Linked DNA regions of Rhinolophus ferrumequinum. The protein of the gene in region 2 interacts with the protein of the main gene of each other region in a pairwise test. Links are inferred from orthologs where the notes say so. Each region holds a gene or a part of one and is shown on either strand. Other genes may lie near its edges.

Evidence for each region.
Region 1: the proteins of DHPS (region 2) and EIF5A2 interact in binary tests that used the Homo sapiens proteins (3 or more experiments, as listed by UniProt). The two-hybrid records come from large-scale screens. The link is inferred for Rhinolophus ferrumequinum from reciprocal best matches to the Homo sapiens genes DHPS and EIF5A2.

What each region holds. Positions count from the first base shown.
Region 1 is NC_046285.1:71,553,772-71,563,876, reverse strand, and holds the start of EIF5A2 (eukaryotic translation initiation factor 5A-2), read right to left. Parts: upstream 4,589-10,105; 5' UTR 4,443-4,588; intron 3,762-4,442; 5' UTR 3,727-3,761; coding exon 3,562-3,726; intron 3,012-3,561; coding exon 2,907-3,011; intron 1-2,906. UniProt on the Homo sapiens protein: Translation factor that promotes translation elongation and termination, particularly upon ribosome stalling at specific amino acid sequence contexts.
Region 2 is NC_046301.1:48,846,680-48,856,459, reverse strand, and holds the start of DHPS (deoxyhypusine synthase), read right to left. Parts: upstream 4,274-9,780; 5' UTR 3,807-4,273; coding exon 3,600-3,806; intron 3,461-3,599; exon of another isoform or gene 3,305-3,460; intron 2,980-3,304; coding exon 2,815-2,979; intron 2,573-2,814; coding exon 2,451-2,572; intron 2,369-2,450; coding exon 2,272-2,368; intron 2,191-2,271; coding exon 2,104-2,190; intron 1,626-2,103; coding exon 1,520-1,625; intron 1,444-1,519; coding exon 1,340-1,443; intron 540-1,339; coding exon 414-539; intron 208-413; coding exon 112-207; 3' UTR 1-111. Other genes in the region: GNG14 (putative guanine nucleotide-binding protein G(I)/G(S)/G(O) subunit gamma-14), read left to right, coding at 7,266-7,358, 7,439-7,564; FBXW9 (F-box/WD repeat-containing protein 9), read right to left, coding at 8,420-8,494, 8,563-8,628, 8,706-8,795, 8,920-9,263. UniProt on the Homo sapiens protein: Catalyzes the NAD-dependent oxidative cleavage of spermidine and the subsequent transfer of the butylamine moiety of spermidine to the epsilon-amino group of a critical lysine residue of the eIF-5A precursor protein to form the intermediate deoxyhypusine residue.

The DNA.
Region 1 (10,105 bases), on a different chromosome or scaffold from region 2:
CATCTTTTGTTATCGGTATATATTGAGTATTACAATTTTAATAGTTTTTTCCTTTCTTAAAATGTATATACATTTTTTTGGCACCCTCTGTATTCTTAAACATATCCCGTAGTTATTAGCTTTCCTTCTGAAATATGGTTTTCAAATGACAGGTAAAACTTTAGTAAATGCCAAAATAAGAGTTTCTATATTTAAAAATTTGGGGATTCCCGAGTAACTGGATATATTTGCATTTTATACCATCACTGAGGCCCAGAGAACCGTAACTACTTTTGGGAGGAGTAATGGAAATCAGCAATTCTAATCCTAGCTACATCATCTGGAAGTCAGGAGACAATTTTTCTCTTATTTTGAACTTATTTTAAAATATACAAAATTGAAATTGTAAATATTCCTAAACAAAGATTTACTTTTTAATTTACACACACACATATATATATGTGTGTGTATATATATACATGTGTGTGTGTATATACATATGTGTGTGTATATATATATGTATATGAACATTTATATATTCATTTCAGCTGACTGCCAAACTGGCACTTGAAATACTGAAAAAAAGCAAATACAAAGGACTTCATGTAGCCAAATAATAAGAAAAGTAGGGATTTAATCAAGGCACTTGGCTAGGTGAGTGAAGATCACCGTAGCACAATAAATATAACTGGAAAGGCTCACAGAGCTAATTATTTTAAATGAGCAAATATAAGTATTCTATGGTGACTTGATAATAAAGGGATGTGATCACTGAGTATTTACTATGTAAGGCCCTGTTCTAAGTAGTAACTAATTAAACCTCACAATGATGCCATGAGTTGTTTATGATTCTTATCCCCATTTTATAAATAAGGAAAGGAGGGCAAGAGGTTAAGTAACTTGCCAACTGAGGTCACACAGATAATGTCGAAGCAAGAATGTGGACCCAGACTGCCTGGTTTGAGTCACTCTCTTACCCACTCTGCAGTACAAACTATACACCACAGGCTGGGACTGGAGTGAAGCAAGTGAAGCACTTGTCTCGGGTGTAAAATTTAAGGTGGCACCAAAAAGAACCATCAGTGATCGGATAAATATTTTAATGAAATATTTTTAAAAAATAGAATTAGGATAAAAATTCCATAATGAACAAAATATCAAAATTTTAAACAAAGACAGAATCACAATTATTGATTTTTCCTTTTGCCTTAGGCTCCTACATGGCTTGGCATTATTTCTGGTCCTATTTTTATTTAAAATTTTGCACTCTAGGTTAGGGGGCTCACTAACCTATACCCCTCACCCTAGTCTGGACCCTGCTACATCCCAAAACAAAACCCAAATCAAATTTTTCATGTACGTTAACTCTTGAGCGCTAATCAATAATTGGCTAAATTGATCACAGTAGTAATTATCTGAACTACTGATACCATCTTTCTGAAACATCCAAAGGCAAAAGCATTCTATGTTGAATGCATATTAATGAATATTATGAATACTGAATATTCAAAGCATTCATATGTTAAGGATGAAAACAGAAATTCATTTGAGGCAAAAGGAAATTCTATGCTTGTCTAAATTAGGTACTTCAAGAATAATGGAATGATTAAGTGGAATTTTTATACAGGAAAGGGGGCGCAGAAAATAACTGCTTTTTGATACACATCTACTCAGGAGGTGATTGTGGGGTACATTTTCTCATTTACTCCTCACATTATCTCTCTTTTGGAGATGGAAAGAGTGAGGCTCAGAGAGGTTGTGTAATTTATCTAAGAACATTCAGCTAGAAAATAGTAGAACTGGATCCAAACCCAGACCTGTTTGACTAAAAAAACACTATTATTATACTAAGAAAATTCAAATTTCTACAAAGACTCCGATGCAACCTAGAAAATATTTATGATAAATGGGAAAGTGAAAATATAAAACTGCTTATTAGATTAAAACCATGTAAAAATATGTTTACAAGTGGACAAAGAGTAAAAGGAAATCATTGGGTAATTACAGTTGACGGTAACATTCTTTAAAAATTATACAGTACAATAAAAGGTATAAAAGGAAATCAATTTAACTGGATAAAACAAATCTGTCACACTCACATTTTTCACTATGTAAAAAGAACAGAAAGGAATACCATACATGGTATGCTAGATATAGAAATTGAAGACTTTCAAAAGAAGACTTTAATTATGATTAATCTGAGCTCCCACATCCTATGAGGTCAATGGTTTGGTTACTATCAATACTCCAAACAACAAAATGCTATCATTAAACATGACCTACCCAAATGTATAATTGGAACTAAAACTTGAAGTTTATACCTATAATTTAACAAAAGGTCACAGCATGGTCACTGAATATAAATAAAACAATTACACAGTTTTTGTATTTTCTTCACCATATTCAGTGACCATGTATTTTATCCTTTATATTTAAGGCTTTTAACTTATTTCCCTATTTAAGAATACCAAAATCTGACTCATATTCATTAGTACACAAACTTGGTTGGTGGAACATGAATTCCAATAATTTCTTAATTTCTTGAAAATCTTAGGTCTGACAAATGAAAAGACATAAAACATCTGAGAAGGAGTTATCTAAAATTGAAATATTTTACAACAAAGACGGTAGTAATCTTATTAGCGCTAAACTTGTTCAGTCACAACATACAGTTACTTGGTTTGTGAAACAATAAGAAGTGTTCAACTTTTTTAAAATGCAAGAATGTTTTAAAAAATAGCAAACTAGAATAATCCTAAATAAGGTACAAGAGTTAAATATAACTATTCCTCCAATTTCTAAGTGGTTACTGATAATTCGTTAGAAAAGCCTACAAAACTACTACGGCCTTTTGTTAAATTACAATTGATAGTAGAATGTATTCACACCTTTAAGAAACAAGCATTCTAAAGGAAATTAGTACTTACTTGATAATCATTTCGCTTAATATTTGGAACATCCATGTTGTGAGTAGAAGGACAAATATCTTCATATTTTTTGCCGGTGAAAATATCAATTCCAACAAGGTGAACCTAACAAAGAAGGGAGAACAGGAAACCTGTTTAATCTTTGCCAAGTATATCACTCATTACATACACAGGAGCACAATACCAACGCTGATTATAGCAGATTATTTCTCCTTTCAAGGTCATCTAATTTTACTTTCTTAAAAAAATGTCGCGGTCATAAAATTGAGAAGCAGTGAACAACTAAATGGTATCATGACATATCAAGACTCAAATCCTATATAGTGCAGTAATTCAATTATAAGAGTGCACAAGAAAAATGAACTTAGGTTCCTTGGAATTATGTTAGAACAGGGTTTCTCATCTGTAAACTGAACAGATCTTCTGACTCACTGGGATTCAGGAAAGTTTCAGTTCCCAATTAATGAAACATTATAAGAGCTCAAGAAGGAAATGCTACCTTTCAGTATTCAAAACGATAGTTGAACACCCAGTAATAGTGGGAAGAAAAAAAAAGTGCTTATTACAAAGTTCTAAGTACAGAAATCTCATGTTCTGTAATGTAATACAAATGATCAAAATCTCAACGTAAAGACAGACCTGGAAGGGCACTTACCTTGGCATGACCGTGTTTTCCAGTTTTGGAAGTTGACATCTCCACTATTTTGCATGGTCGTCCTTTGAGCACCACGAAGCCGTTTTTGCGCAGGGCCGAGCACTGCATAGGGTAAGTGCTGGAAGCCCCAGCATCTCCAGTAGTGAAATCAATTTCATCCGCCATGGTGGGCTGGGGAGATGGTAGCTTTTCGGAGGGAACTACGCAAAAAGTTTGTTTGCTTTTTAACAATGGGCAATCAGGTAACGAAAAATCTCATTTCGGACAGGTTACGTGCCAAGCATCGTGGATCTATTATTTTTGCATCTATAGAAGACCCACCCAAGAACAGTGGGCGCTTTCTAACTCTTGGCCTCTACAAACTTTTCCATCCATTGATGGGAAGGTGGGGAAGGAAGTCGCAGAGAGCGAGCTGGGGGGTGGAGGATACCCGCCCAGGGGGCTCACCAGGCTGGGAGCAGCAAATCCCGGCCCCCATCGTCCCACCGCAGGCGGAGCCGGCGACCTTTCCGCACAGCGCCGCACCGCCCGGCCCTCCGCCGCCGCCCTGATCCCCACTGCGGGGGACCCAGCCCAGGCCGCACGTCCGCGCGAAGGATGGGGATAACATGACCAGGCCAGCAGCACCTGGCCCTCGCGCATCTGGCGCGCACTCCGGTCCCCGGCTGCGGCGTGCTATCCCCGGCCTCTCAGGCGCCCCCTTGTCCTGCAGGCATCCTCGGCCCGGCTCGGCCCCGCACGGGCCTGAGCCCTGGCGAGTGCCGCGCTCGCCTCCGTTCTCCCATCCAGCCTTCCTCTTTCCCTCGTTGGGACTCCCGTCGCCTTTCCCGGCCCTGCCTCGCTCCGGTCCCAACCCCACCACTTTTCCCCCATGTCTTTACCTTTCAGCAAAGAAAGAGCTGCTTTCGCCTGCGCACCCGCGCCGGTCCCCTACAGCGGCGGCGGCGGCAGCGGCAGCGGTGGCGGCCGCGGTAGTTCCAAGAGACAGGGCGGGGCCGCCACACTTTCCACACCCCGGCCTCCCCGCCCTTTCCCGCCCCCACCTCAGTCCCATTTCCGGGATAGGTCCGGCGCGTCACAGGCACCACCCTTCCAGGCTACCATTGGCTACAAGCTTCCTGAGGCCCCGCCTAGTCACGTGAAGAGCGTCCTGGCTACCCCACGTGCTGCGGATTAGTGCACTTCCGGCGCGTGAAGTGCATTTTCTGGAGGCGGGTTGCTGAGGGTAAACTCGCTTGCAAAGAAACTTCCTGCTGCAAACTTTTAGGTTCGTTGTGTTCAAGTTTCAGTGGAAGTTTATGGGAATTGGGCCGCGCGCATGGTGGCCCCTGCCCTCAGGTGCGTGCCAGTTGTTACTTGTAGGTTGTCAAAACTCGAGAGGCAAGAGATCTCAATGGATGCCAGTGTGGCTGTGGAGGAAACTTTGGGTTCCAACTTCTGGTCCATCTTGCAGCCCTCTTTGGTAGTCAAACCCAGCTTGTTCCTCCAGGAAGAGTCCAAGTGCGGTATTTTATTTTCCAGATGCACACTGCATGCTCTGCAGAGAACCCCAGCCACCCATTATGACTCATGGCAGCGACTGCCCCTGGGTGCCCTGCCCACTCCCATGGGTGGGAACTCGTGAGACATTCTTGAACTGAACTAAAAAGCAGTGGTGAAATGACCTAACTCACTTCTCCCTCCGGAAGCTGTTAGGGAGTTGTGGAGGCAAGTGGATGTCTAACTGGTACCACATTGTCCAATTCAGGAAGGTGTTCTGCCAAACTCAGCTCTTTCCTCCTGGCGTTGGCATTCTATCGAGTTACAGATATGTCCATCCTCCTTAGAATGGTTGGGTTATCTGTAGCCAGTAGAGACTTGTATAGGATTAAGGACCAAAGTTTTTTAAAAAAAGATGTGAGCCCTTTTTCATGGTTTCATTTCACAACCCACCACATTTTCCTACCTTGGAGAGGTGACTTCCACACCCCAGTTTATGTGGCCCTGTGATTTCGTATTGCTGTCTCATGAACAGTCCTATTTTTCACATTCCTATGTGGCTCTACAGTTACACAGATATTTCACACATGCTGTGTAACTTAACCTTTGCAATAAACAGGGGAACTCCCATAAACAACTCAGCCTCTAGCTAATAGAAATAGCCGGATTAGAATCCAGTTCGTGAGCCCACTCTGCTTTTCCTTACATTACCTAACCTTTCCTGTCTGTTGTTATTAAGAGTGTTTGCTAATATTTAAAGAGTATTTATGTAAGCGGGTAGTTAATTGTTTTACGTGCATTATTTACTCTTGGCTGTTACTCTCTTTCAACCTCAAGTTTATTAAGTTATTTATGCAAAGTAAAAGTTACCGGTTTTAGTTATATGAATATTGAAGAACATAAACATTTGTGTAAATACCACTATAATCAAGATATAGAATATTTCCTCATTCTAAAAGTTTTCTCCTGCCCTCTTCTGGTCAGTCCCCTCCCTCACGTGCAGCCCATGGCAATCATTAACAACTATTTTATTTACATTTTCAGTTATGGAAAAGGGCAGAGAAAAGTTAAGTAATTTGCTCCAAATCACACAGCTAGCAAGTCAGAAGGCCAACATTGAACTCTAGCCAGTTTGGCTCCATAATCACTGCTTTAACTACCATCATATGCATCATAGTGAATTCACATAAGATTTGGATTTGGAATCAAAATGATCCAGCTTCATTCATTAAATAAATACAGCTGAGGCTAGTGAAGTCACCGGAACACAAAATCGTTACTTCTAGGAGAAATGCAAAGTTAGGTTCCTGTAAGCTTCTGGTCACAACATTTTCATCAACTGACCAATATATTATCTTGTATTATATGTGTTTATTTAATCTATATTGATTCATTAACATTTAACTCACAGCCAACAGCTCTACAATTCATGTCCAAAGGAGGCTTATCTAACACATGTATTTTCTCTGTAAGGCACATCACAGCCTTCTCATTCTTAAAAACACTAGACAGCACTTCAGCACTATGCTCAGGGTCATTTTAAACAGTCAAGTCACCAACAAAAGTCAAAAAAATGTGAAAAAGTGGCACAGGTAGACTGAAAAAAAAACTCGTTTACCATTTGACAGTTGAAAATAGAAGGCAGAGCATGGCCTTGTTTGACCTTAGTCAGGAAAATATGTGTTGAATGACTCAAATCTTCCACTGTTCTGTGCATGTCCACAAATGATTGTGAAAGCATCTCATGTATTGATTTTGGGGTTATACGTAAATTTATCAAGTAGGGAAATTCATAAATATGGGATCCACAAATAAGGAGAATTGACTGTTTTTATTGTAGCACCCTTAGTGCTGAAATTATCATGTTGACCACGACATCCTCTTGTTTTTTATGTACTTGAAGTCTAGTGCAGGATACAAGCTAGCATTTTAGCAGCTATAATACATGCTACTAAAGAAGTAACTGTAGGATGTTGAAAAAGGGGGCTCCTTCTCATCTAGTCTAGGTTTTGTTCAATTGAAGTATGATGCAAGCCACATATAAATTGAGTTTTCTTGTAGCCACATTAAAATGTAAAAAGAGATGAAATTAATTTCAATAATATAGTTTGAAATTTAACTGAGTACATCTAAAATAATATTTCGCATGTACCAGTATAAAAATTATTAATAAGATTATTTTATACTAAGTCTTCAAAGCCTGGTGTAGAGTACATCTCAATTCAGACTAGCCACATTTTAAGGGTTCAGTGACTGTGTGACTGGTGGCTATCATATAGGGCATCACAGGTCTAGAAGATCTTGAGACTGCCTCTCTGGGAGTGATATCTTAATTTGACATCTGAAAAATAAGGAGTAGTAAGCAATGAACAGAGGTTTGGAAAAGGCATTTTAGGTAGAGGGATTAGGGGTACAAAAAACCTATAAGTGACAGAATTGTGACATCATTCTGGACCTCCACTGGTTTAATGTGACTGATAAAGTAGTAAAAAGAGATGGGTGAATCTGGATTTTCTCTCAAGGGCAATAGAAAGATATATAAACCGTATATAGAAGAAAATGACAAGGATGTATTTTTTTAATTTAGAAAGACCATTCTGATCATGATATGGAGAATTTTTTAGGGGGAGAGAATATTGGAAATAGGAAACCAATTAGGAAGAAATAGTTAATGTTGGTGAACAAAGGTGGTGACTGTGAGAACATAGAGAAGACAGATTCAAGAGAATTACAAGGGAAGGTGGAAAGAATGTCCTAAGTAATGTTGGAAGTCGAAATGAGAAGGGAGACACTGGGTGAGAAGAATAGGAAAGCATCAAATTAACGACTGGGGGAATGGTGGTACCATTCATTGAGATAGAAAATATAAGAGAAAAAGCAAGTTTCCATGGCAAGTTGAGTTCACTTTTGGCCAAATCGAGTTTAAGATTCTTGTGGGAGAGAGATATCTTAAATAGAGAAAGATATTTGTGAATCACCAGTATATAGACGATGGTTAAAGCAAAAGCAAGAGACTCTCTTCAGCTTTAAGGACACACACAGACTGAAAGTAACAGGATGAAAAAAGACAATCCATGCAAATGGAAACCAAAAGAAAGCTAGGATAGCTATACATTATCAGCCAAAATATACTTTTATACAAAGACTGTAATAAAAGACAAAGAAAGTCATATAATGATATAGGGGTCAATCCAACAAATGGATATAACATTATAAATATTTATGTACCTAATATAGGAGCACCTAAATATATAAAGCAAATATTGATAGACCTAAATGATACCACAAAAATGCAAAGGATCAGAAGAGACTCCATGAACAATTATATGCCAACCAACTGGACAACCTGAAGAAATGGATAAATTGATAGAAATATACAACTTACCAAGACTGAATCATGAATAGAAAAATCTAAACAGACCTATTACTACTAAGCTGACTGAATCAGTACTCAAAACCTCCCAACAAAGAAAATTTGGCTTCACTAGTGAATTGTACCAAACATTTAAATAATTAATACCAGTTCTTCTCAAACTTTCCCCCAAAATTGAAGAGGAAAGATCATTTCTAAACTTATATTATGAGGATAGCATTACCCTGATGCTATATATCAAACAAGGACACTACAAAAAAAAAAGAAAATTACAGGTCAGTATCTCTGATGAACATAGATGCAAAAATTTTCAACAAAATATTAGCAAACCAATTCAATAGTACATGAAAAGGATCGTATACTGTCATGGAGTGGAATTTATTCCAGGAAATGCAAGGATGGTTCAATATCTGCAAATCAATTACTGTGATACACCACTTTAACAATGAATGATAAAAATTATATGATCATCTCAATAGATGCAGAAAAAGCATTTGACAAAGTTCAACATACATCCATGATAAAAAAAAAAAAACCCTCTCAACAAACTGTGTATAGAGGGCCTCAATATAATAAAGGCCCTATATGACAAGCCCACAGTTAACTTCATACTCAATAGTGGAAAGCTGCAAGTTTTTCCTTTAAGATCAGTAATAAGATAAGGATGCCTACTCTGACTGCTTTTATTCAATATAGTCTTGGAGGTACTAACCAGAGAAATTAGGCAAGAAAAAGAAATAACAGCACCCAAATTGGAAAAGAAGAAGTAAAATCGTCTCTATTTGCAGATGGCATTACATTACATATAGAAACCCTAAAGACTCCACCAAAAAATCTGTTAGACTTCATCAATGAATTTAGTGAAGTTGCAAGATATATCAATATACAAAAACAGTTTTGTTTCTATACATTAACAATGATGAATCAGAAAGAAAAACTAAGAAAACAGTCTTATTTACAATTGCATCAAAAAGAATAAAATACGTAGGAATAAATGTAATCAAGGTGAAAGACCTATACACCAAAACTATAAGACTTTGATGAAAGAAATTGAAGAAAACACAAATAAATGGAAAGACATTTCATGTTCATGGGGAAGAATTAATATTAGTAAAATGTCCATATTATCCAAAGCAATCTATAGATTCAATGCAATTCCTATCAATTCCATTGGCATGTTTTACATAAATAGAAAAATCCTAAAATTTGTATGGAATTACAAACAACTGAATAGCCAAGTAACCTTGAGAAAGAGGAACAAAGCTAGAGGCATCACACTTTCTGATTTCAAACTATGTTACAAAGCTATAGTCATCAAAACAGTGTGATATTGACATAAAAACAGACGTATAAATCAATGGACTAGAAAAGGAACACAGAAATAAACTAAGGCCTATATAGCCAATTACTTTACAACAAAGGGGCCTAGAATATATAATGGGGAAAGGATAAATGGTATTGGGAAAACTGGATAGCCACATGTAAAATAATGAAACTGAACCCTTATCTCACACCATACACAAATTCAACTCAAAATGCATTAAAGACTTGAACATAAGACCCCAAACTATAAAACTCCTAGAAGAAAATATAGGGCAGCTCCTTGACATTGGTTTTGGTAATGAGTCTTTGGATTTTTTCACTAAAAGCAAAGGCAACAAAAGCAAAGATAAACAGGTGGGATTATATCAC
Region 2 (9,780 bases):
GCAGGACCTCTGAGAACATTTATTGTAGACATGCTGCTGCCCAAGGAGTTGGAGAGGAGTTGGGTCTGCAAACTAATAGAGGCGGGGAGACCTCCCTGGGGCTGCAGCTGTTCAGTCCTTATTCTTCTTGGGAATGAAGGCATCTACCTTCTGGGCAAAGGTTTCAGCCACGAGCAGGGGGAAGACCAGGGAGGCGTCAGCATAGACCTGAGGACAGGACCCAGGAGTTCAGAGGGAGCTGCTCCCAACTCTAACTGCAGAAGACCTCGGAACCCAACCCCCTGTCCGCCCGCCTTGGTCTCCACCCTGGTCCAGGCCCCACTTGTTCCCCCCATAGCAGCCACAGGGCGCCTGTGAGCACCTGAGTCGCAACCTGGGAGACACCATGCCCAAGCCTGCGAGCTGGCCCTCACCTTGACAGGCTGTGCATGCACCCGAATTTTGCCCCAAGACACAGCTTCGTCCGGCCGGGCACCAGAGTCGGAGCCATCAAACTCCTGGGCTGTGTTGATGTAAACAGCATAGTCGGCTCCATTCCGCTGTGGGGAGGGGCAGAGCAGGCGGTCAGCCAGGATGGACACACACACAGACACACACACACAAAGAGGGCACTGCAGCTAGAGAGACTGAGCCATTTGTCCTGGATGAAGGGAGGAGCCCCAACATGAATGCCTAGGCAGAGTGAGGGGTTACAAGGTTGCTGGGCAGATGGGCAGTGTTGCCCCAGACCCACCTCCTAGGTAGCAACAGTCTTCCCACATCTGCTCAGAGGGAGCTACTCCCAGCTCTACCTTCAGAAGACCTCTGAACCCCCTTGGTCTCCACCCTGGTCCTGGCCCTATTTGTTCCCCCCACAGTAGCCACAGGTCATCTGTGAGCACCTGAGTGGCTGCCCTCAAGGCCCTGCAAGTCCTGCCTGTCACCTCCCCACTTCACCTCCCACTCTCCCCTTCACAGTCTTTCTAGCTGTTCCTTGATTTACTTCAGGCATCTCAAAGCTTTTGCACTGGCTGTTCTCTCCGCTGGGAACTCTTCCAAGGCAACCACGTAGCTCATAGGAGGCACCTACCAAAAACCTGCTCCCGGGTCACATTTCCCAGAAAGTTTCCCTTTATTGAACAGTACCCTCTTTTTCTTGCCATCTTGTCATCCCTCAATTTTCTCTATGGCAATAACCATCAACTGATTTGATGTCAGTCCAAGGAAGGCAGGGATCCTGTCCTGTCTAGCCCATAGCTGTGTCCCCAGCACGTGGCATAAGCCTAGCACACAGCCATCTCTGCACAGCAGGCCCAAGTGCCACCCCCACACTAGGGTCCAGGTGCTCGTCCCTGCTTACCATGAGGTTGGCATTGGCGATGTGGTGCTTGACCACTCCCCCGCCCAGGATGATCATGCCAGAGTGCTTGGCAAAGATGGCCTGGGTGTTGATGAGCCTCAGGTCTAGGGAAGAGCGCTGTGGTCAGGCCCTGGGCCCAGCCAGCCCTCCTCCCCTGCTCCTCCGGCCCCAGCGCCTCACCCTCCACAATGTCCAGGACCAGGCCTGGGTTCTTGTAGGAATGGAAGAAGATCATGTCGCCCAGCGAGCCATCTGTGAGCGCTGGGCTCAACACGGGGATGTGGTTCTGGGGGAGGGCAGGACAGTGGTGGGAGTCAGCACCCGGTGCAGCGTTCCCTCCCTCTGCCTGTTCTGGGTGAGGTGCTGAACTGCTCTGGGCCTCAGTTTCCTTGAATCTAAAATGACGGTAACAGTACCTCCAACGTAGAGGTGTGTGTGAGAAAACACATAAAATATGTAAGAGCAAGCCTGACACACAGAATGGGAGCTCTTGTTACTTTTCTGATTGCTGGGCCTCATAGCCTCTGAGGAGCAGGGGACCCTACACCAGGAGGGTTGCTAAGCACTGCCCCAACTATTCCCAGGATATCAGGACTATACTCAACAGCTGTGTGACCTCAAACTGCCTAACCTCTCTGGGTCTGAACTTCCTGGTCTAAGAGTGCAGATGATGAGAACAGCATTGACTCCTCAGGTGGCTGTGAAGATAAAACAAGTTAACAGAGGCCAAGGCCTGGCATCTTTGCCCCCACCCAGCCCCTCACCTTCTGGGCCCAGTAATACACCGAATCTGGGTTGTTGATCTCCTTGCCTAGCCGGGCGATCATCTTGGACGGTGTCCACTTCACACCCTAGGAGGAGATACCAGCTTCAGCCAGCGGTGCTTCCCCTGACTCTCACCATGCTGGCCCCCCAGGTTGCTCCAGCCCCACCTCTGTGTTCTGCTCCAGCACCATCTGGTCCAGAATGGGCATCAGCCAGTCCTCAAACTTGCAATAATTGTCATTGGGCACCAGCAGGTTCCCGATCCTGGGGACAGGAGGCAGATGGGCATCAGGCCCCAGGTCCCTCAGCTTAGCTCCCCTGCCCAGCACCGCTCAGGGTTTCCCACCTGTTGATCCCGTTCTCACGTAGCTCCTTTCCCCTGAGGCTAAACTCGCCCAGGTATGTGGGTGCCAGGCACTTGATGAGATCTTCCTCCACACCCCCAGCTGTAGTCACCAAAACATCCACCTGCAGCCACAAAACAGTTACGTTGGCCCAGAAATGGGGTCCCTGCCCTCACTGTAGGCAGGACTGCTAACTCCCAACTTTCATCTAGTCACCTTGCAGGAAGCTCTGCTGCAAAACAAAACTCAATCCTGTCCCACAGCTTAAAATTGACTCATATCTCCCAATGTCACTAAAATGACCAAAAATCGTGTTGTCCATTTAGACCCAGAGAGGCCAAGACAACAGCGCCAGTGGTTCCCCACCATGTTGTGCTCTACGAGGTAACGGATGGTCTCACGGATCCCTGAACTGATGAGGTTGGATGTGTAGCCCAGGAAAATGGTACAGCCAGTGAGTGGGCGGCGGCTCTGAGTCAGGTCTGCGTGCTGGTCTTCATCCTGCGGCAGAGGCTCCAACTTCTTCTCTATCTACATGTAAGGGTGGGGTCGAGTTAACCTCAGGACCCAAACTCCAGCCCAAGGACCCGAGTGGTTTTCAGAATCAGACTCTACCCCCAGTCCCTGCCCACTCAGGGAAACGGGACCTTTTCTACCTGGAACCAGGAAACACGAGACCCCTCTGCAGCTTCCATCCCTGTCACAGCCCGGCTCTCAGGGCACACGATCACGCTTTGCCCCCATCCGGAGTCGGAAAGCATCTTAGCAGGACCCAGCCCCCTTCCCCGCTAGGAAGAGCAAATCCAAGGCCCCGCCCTGACTTAGGCTCCTTTTCCAATTCGTCCCTCAATCTCACCGTCTTGCCTCAGGCTCCGCCCATTCCAGGGCACTCACACGTAGCCAGCCCCAACCCAAAATCAGTGTCCATCACCTCAGGATACTAGGATGTCGCTGCTGGGTGGCAACGTCCCCTTCCCAACACACAAACCGCCGCCCCGGCTAGGCCCCGCCTCTCTCCAACTGTTGGGCCACCCCAACGAAGGACACGCCTCCTTCCCCAGGGGAGCCCCGCCCTTCCATCTACTGTACTGCGTTGGTGCTCGGAGAAGCCAAACCCCCCTCGACCCAGGAAGTCCCGCCCCCGGCCTCACCATGGCGTTGACTTGCTGCACCGCGCGCCCGAAGTTGGTGGCCTGGAAACCAGTGGTGCCGAAGGCCTCCAGCAGCGCGCGGTAGTCCACGCCACGGTTAAAGTCGTAGCCCCGGACCTGGGCGCTCTCGAAGGGCAGCGCCGAGCTGGGCTTCAGCACAGCAGCCCGCGCCGCCGCGGGCGCCTCCTCCTCCGGGGAACTCTCCATGCACCTGCGGCCGCGCTCTCAGATCAGTGCAGCCGCAGGCCAGGCCTCCAATGGCTTCCAAACGCGCTAAGCACTGGCACACGCTTCTCTACGAGAGCGCAGGAAAAACTGGAGACACGTCCGGAAGTTGCTGCGCTACATGACCCTCTCTCGACACCCGTAGTCCAGGACGCGGCCTGTTTTTGTAATACGGAAGCCGTACGGAGCCGTTGTTTCCTGTTTCGTGTGTTCTCTACTCACATGAAGAGTCTTACATTTACTGCCGCCTGCTGGAGACTCCCCGCGTTGCGGGGAGTCCATTCATTTCTGTTCCCTGAGAGGAAAGAATGTCTTCTTAGAATTCGAGTCATCAGGAACTGTCAAGACAGTTTCTGCCATTGAGCATCTCTCATCAAATAAGATATTGATCCCTTTTCGTGCCTTGCAAATCTCCAGAGCCTCCACATGCTGCATAACCCTCTGGTCTAATCCCAGCAGCCACAGTTGTCACCTCCTCTGGGAAGCCTTCCCTGACCTTCCTCTTGGTAAGTGACCTCCTCTGGGATCTAGGGCTGACATCTCGTTCCCTGCAGCAAGACTGTGAGACCCTCCAGGGCGGGGACTATATCTCATGGGTCCTCCTAACCATGCACAGGGTCTGGTCCAGAGGGGACACCTTAATCACTGTACATTTATCTATAATAATGTAGTCTATATTGTGCTATATGTTGGGCTCTGTGCTGGGTGCAGATTTAGCGGTGAACAAGATGCAAACCCTGCTTTCCTGGAGCCCACAGTTTCAGGAGACAGAAAGTTAACAGTGCTAAGTGCTAGTCAGGATTTCAACAGGATAATGCAAGAATCTTTGGGGTGGCGGTGGTTGGAGAGGTTGGTGGCCTTAGTTGGAGGGACAGGTGGTTGAGGAAGGACACCAAGGAGGTGACATTTGAGCCAAAGACAGAAGGCCAAGAAAGGCCCCATATGTGAGCTTATGGGGGAGGCCATTCTCCCACCGTCCCTCATTGGGAGAAAGAACAGCCTGTGCAAAGGCCCTGAGGCTGGAAATTAGCCTCCTTAATTGGAGAAACAACATCCTCCTTGACAGCCTTGACATTCCTGGCTTGGATCTCAAACTCACTACCTCTGCTTTCTCTCCACCTAACCCTGATCTTGCTGCATGCCGTCTTCCCCATCTCGGCAAACAACCCTCATCTACCAGGCTGAAAACTGGGGAGTTGAGTTTGATGTCTCCTCCCACACCCCACATCCATCCCCCAGCACATGTGCTAAATTCTACCTACAAAATGCATCCCAAATCCAAGTGCTTTTTTGTTGCTTTTTTAAAAATTGATACATGACATATATTAATGTCAGGTACACAACATAAGTCGTTTGCATGCAGGTGCTTATCATCCCAGGGCCTCCACACTGCACTCCCTCCAGTCCACGTCCAATCTCTGGCCAGAGAGTGTGTTAAACAGAAATCAGATGTGTTGTTCCTTTCTAAAACCTTCTAACAATGGTGGCTTCTCCCTGGGAGTAGAATCCAGGCTGTTCACCATGGCCTCTGAAGGCGCATGCTCACTTCCCTGCCCTCATCTCCCACCACTTGCCCTCACACACTCCTCTCTAGCTACACCAACCCCCTCACTGTTCTAGAACCCACCACGCTCTTTCCTGACCAAGGGACAATGCACCTGCTGCTCTCTGCCTAGGACATCCCTCCCCCAGCTCCTTCTCTTCTGGGCCTCAGTTCAGACTGTTACCTGCATGAGGCCTGCCCTGAACACCCACTTTTGCCCTTACCTTGCTTTTGTTGTCTTTCACAGCACTTAATACGTTTTGTTTGAGTAGAATGGCAGCTCCGTGAGGACGGGATTGTGCCTGGTTTCACTGCCAGCCCTCTTACTCCGCACAGTGCTGGACACATTGGGATCTCAGCAAAGATGCTAAATGAATGAATGAACACACCCAAGGGCATCAGTGTCATCCATGAGGAATGAAGGAGGGAGCAGTTGATAGATGAAGGAGGGCAGAAGGTGCCAGACCAGGCAGGATCATGTGGGTTGTAGTAAGGAGACTGAGAAATCCCTGGAGAGTTTGAAAAAGGAACTGAGAGACTACACATCAGATTCACCATCTTAACCATTTTTAAGTGTATATAGGTCAGTGGCATGAAGCACATTCACACTATTGTACAACCGTCCCACCGTCCATCTCCAGAACTTGTTCATCATCCCAGACTGAAACTCTGTCCCCATTAAACACTAACTTCCCATCCCCCACCATCAGCCCCTGACACCCACCATTCTACTTCCTGTCTCTACTCTAGGGACCTCATATAAGTGGAATCACACAGTATTTGTCCTTTTGTAGCTGGCTTATTTCACTCAGCATAATATCCTCAAAGTTCATCCATGTTATATTCTGATTTACTTTTTAACAGATCCCATTGGCTGCCTTGAGAATGGTGGCAGTGGTGGGGAGGGCAGGAGAGACCAGGCGGGGTGGGGGGTGGGGGGCGGCTGCACTTGTCCAAGTGAGCAAAGATGGTGGTGGGACCCACGTGGTGGTGGAAGGAAGTGATGAGATTGAGAACCTAATTTGAAGATTGATCGTCTGGCTCTTGAGAAGGAATTAGATGTGGGAATACCAGAAAGAAAGGAATGAAGGAGTTCAAGATTTGGGCCAGGGCAACTGGGTGGATGGTGGTACATCTGGGGGCAGAAGATCTGGGGGGAAGATAATCCAGAGTCCAGCCTGGCCAAGTCAGGTGAGAGACACCAGAGAGAGACAGGTGGGATGGACTGAGGAGAGCGGAGGGTCCTCACGTGGGTCTGAGGTCTGCGATGGGGCAGAGGAAGACTTCATCATAAGTGGGTGGACTGAGTCATCTGTGGAATAGACCCCTGGGCAGTGAGTGCAGACAGAGCAGAGGCAGGGCTGCACCGGAGCCGGGGACACTCTGCTTGTTGGTGTCCCATGTTGGTGGGGGGGTGGGGGACAGAGGCTGACAAAGGAGGGTGTCGGGGCCAGTTAGCAGGAGATCAGTCAGGTCAGTGAGAGACCAGGGACCTGCAATCCCCCTGCCAAGGTGACACATGACCATGGGGCAGCCACCAGGTCTCCTGGGGCAGGGAACCCTTTGGCTGAGGCAGCTGCTGCTACTGTCACTGGTGACATTTTACTCCATGAGTGTCCCAGCTTCAAAGTCTCTGCAGGGGTAGGGGAGGGCAAAGGGGCTGGAGAGGCAGGGGGGTTGGGAAGGAGGCAGAGCCAGGCTGCAGGAGGAGGACTGAACAGCCAGGAGTCAGCCGTAGTCCTCAGCTGAGGTGTGTGGTCCTGCTGGGCGGGGAGCAGCCACCACATCCTGCAGTTCCTAGGGGACATCAAAGGAGGTGCAGGGACCCTCGGGTGGCCCTAGGACTCCAGGTCTGGTGTTCACCCTGATGTTTATGGTCCTGCTCACCTTACCCCCAGATGTCTGGCAAGGTGGCCACTGGCAGTGACATCGGGCAGGCCCGCCGGGCCGTGGAGCAGCTGCGGATGGAGGCCGGCATGAACCGTGTGAAGGTGAGGGTGGGGCGAGGCGGGCACCTCTGGGCGAGGGGGCAGAGGGTCCGCGGGGTCTGGCTGACCAGGCTGGCCTACAGGTGTCCCACGCGGCTGCCGACCTGCTGCAGTTCTGCATGGAGCAGGCCAAGAGCGACCCCTTCTTGGTAGGCATCCCGGCTGCCACCAACCCCTTCAAGGAGAAGAAGCCCTGTGCCATCCTATGACGCTGGCCCTGAGGACCCCTCAATAAACATGAAGTGAACACTCCTCAGGGTTTGGTGGGCTGCAGTGGGGGGCGAAGTGGGGCTGTGGGCTGGCAGGGGCACCTGGCCCAGCCTCCCCCGCCCCCTGCAGGGTCACACCCACCCTGGACTGGCTAAAAGAGCACGTACCTCCACCCGTTTGCCCCACACCTATGGGCTAGCCTTAGCAGATCCCATCACCCTCTGCAGAAACACATCCGGAGGCAGCGTCCCTAGCTTCATGCCAACACATACACACATACTCGTCACTCCTGTCCACTTGTCTCACACACACAAAGGTGCCATCATACAGACTGCTGCCGACGTCCTCCAGAATCTGTCTTCCTCTCATACACATACACTCACAGGCACACAGACAGGCGCAGATGGGATTTGGGGTTAGAGTAACAACACACACAGCCAGCCTGCCTCCCCAGGGACACACAGACACATAGGATCCCGGAATGCACTTGAGCGGGTACAGGCACACCCAGACACAAACAGCAGAGGCTGTCACCGAGGCTTGCAGGTACCACTCAGGGCACAGCACCAGTATATCAGGTTTATTTCTCCTGCACTTTCAAGGGAGAGCAGGTACCCAAATCAACAAAAACGGAGCCCAAGGGTGGGGAGCAGCCCTCTGGGTGGGCCAAAACACCAACCTCACCTCCCCTGGCTTGGGGCCCAGCCCAGGGACCCCACCCAAATGTAACGGGGGCTCCTTGTGCCCCAGGCCTGTGGGCCAGATTAGGGGCAGCACCAGCGAGGGGGAGGGTCCCCCAAGAACCGGCCGGTCAGCAGATCCACATCCACACATCCACGTCCACGTCTGCCTGCTCAGGCCTGCAGCCTCCAGACCTCCAGCGACAGGCCCCCGGAGGCAGCTACCACCAGGTTGCCCTCAGCACAGATCTGGACAGGGACATGAGGATTCAGGGGCGCTCTGGGCAGCCAGCAGGGCATAGAGGGCAGAGCCTTACCCCATTTAGCACGTTGTGGTGGCTTCGGGTGCAGATGGTCCTTGGTGGGTCTGTGGGCACGTGCACCTGGTTAGGGGGCAACAGGCAAAGTCAAGAGATGTGTTCCTGGCCAGGGGGGGACGGGGCCTGTCCAAGGTCCTCACCCGAATGGTCTTGTCAGTGGACGTGGTGTACAAGGCCCCCAGCGAGTGTTTGATCCCTGTAATCTGAGACCTGTGGCCCACATCAAAGGTCTGCAGGAGGAACAGGTGACACTCAGATGGGTCTCTCCAAGGCCAGCACCCCACTGCCACCAAGGGTTAAGGGGTAGGGAGGAAGCCCAGGGAGAGTGGGGCAGAGACAAGGGCCCTGGCCAACCCGGACAAGCTGGAAACAGCCTTTCCGGTTGGCGAAGACGTGCAGCAGGCCCTGGTTGTCGCCGGCCCAGAGCTGGGGCTCTTGGTAGGACATGCAGAGTAAGTAGGAGTCCAGCTGTGGGAGGGACAAAGGACAGAGCAGCTCAGGCTGGGCCACATGCAGCCCCGGTCCCTCCAGCCCCTGGGGAGGGCCCACCTGCAGCCGCTGCAGTACACTGTTGGCCCTGCGGTCAAACACCACGAGTGTGTGGTCCTCACTGCCCGAAATGATGTGCCGGTCATCCGCCAGCAACGCCAGCACCGCGCTCGAGTGCAGCCGCCGGCTCTTCAGCAGGGCTGGGCCAGCTTCATGGGTGATGGGCCCCGAGAGGAGGGGGACATCAGAGCTCCTCAGAGGCCTCTCAGACCCACCCGAGGATCCCTGTCCTCCGTGGCAAAACCCTCGGTTGGCTTCCCTCCCCACCCCCCATCCCTCAGGTGACCCTGTCTCTCTTTTTCTGCCCCAGCTGGATCTGGGCCTCCCAGCATCCCCAGGCCTCTCCGCCCCAACCCCCATCTTGTGTCCCATCTCCCTCCTCTTGTCCCATCTGCTCTCAGTACAGAGTGGACAGCCAAGTCCCAGCATAAAATGCCAACCAATGCCAGGAGACGCGTGCCTCTATCCCCACCACCACTCAGCTCTGCCCAGATAAGGCACGCTGGCCCTTCAATTAAAATTAGAATGAATAAACAACAGAAAAAGCTTATGTTCCAAGCAGTGTTTGTTCTAGGCGTTTTATGTAAACTAATGTTTAATCCACCAAAGTACTAATTGCCATCTCCTCCCATTAACCATATGGGGCTGGAGTTGTTACCCAGATTT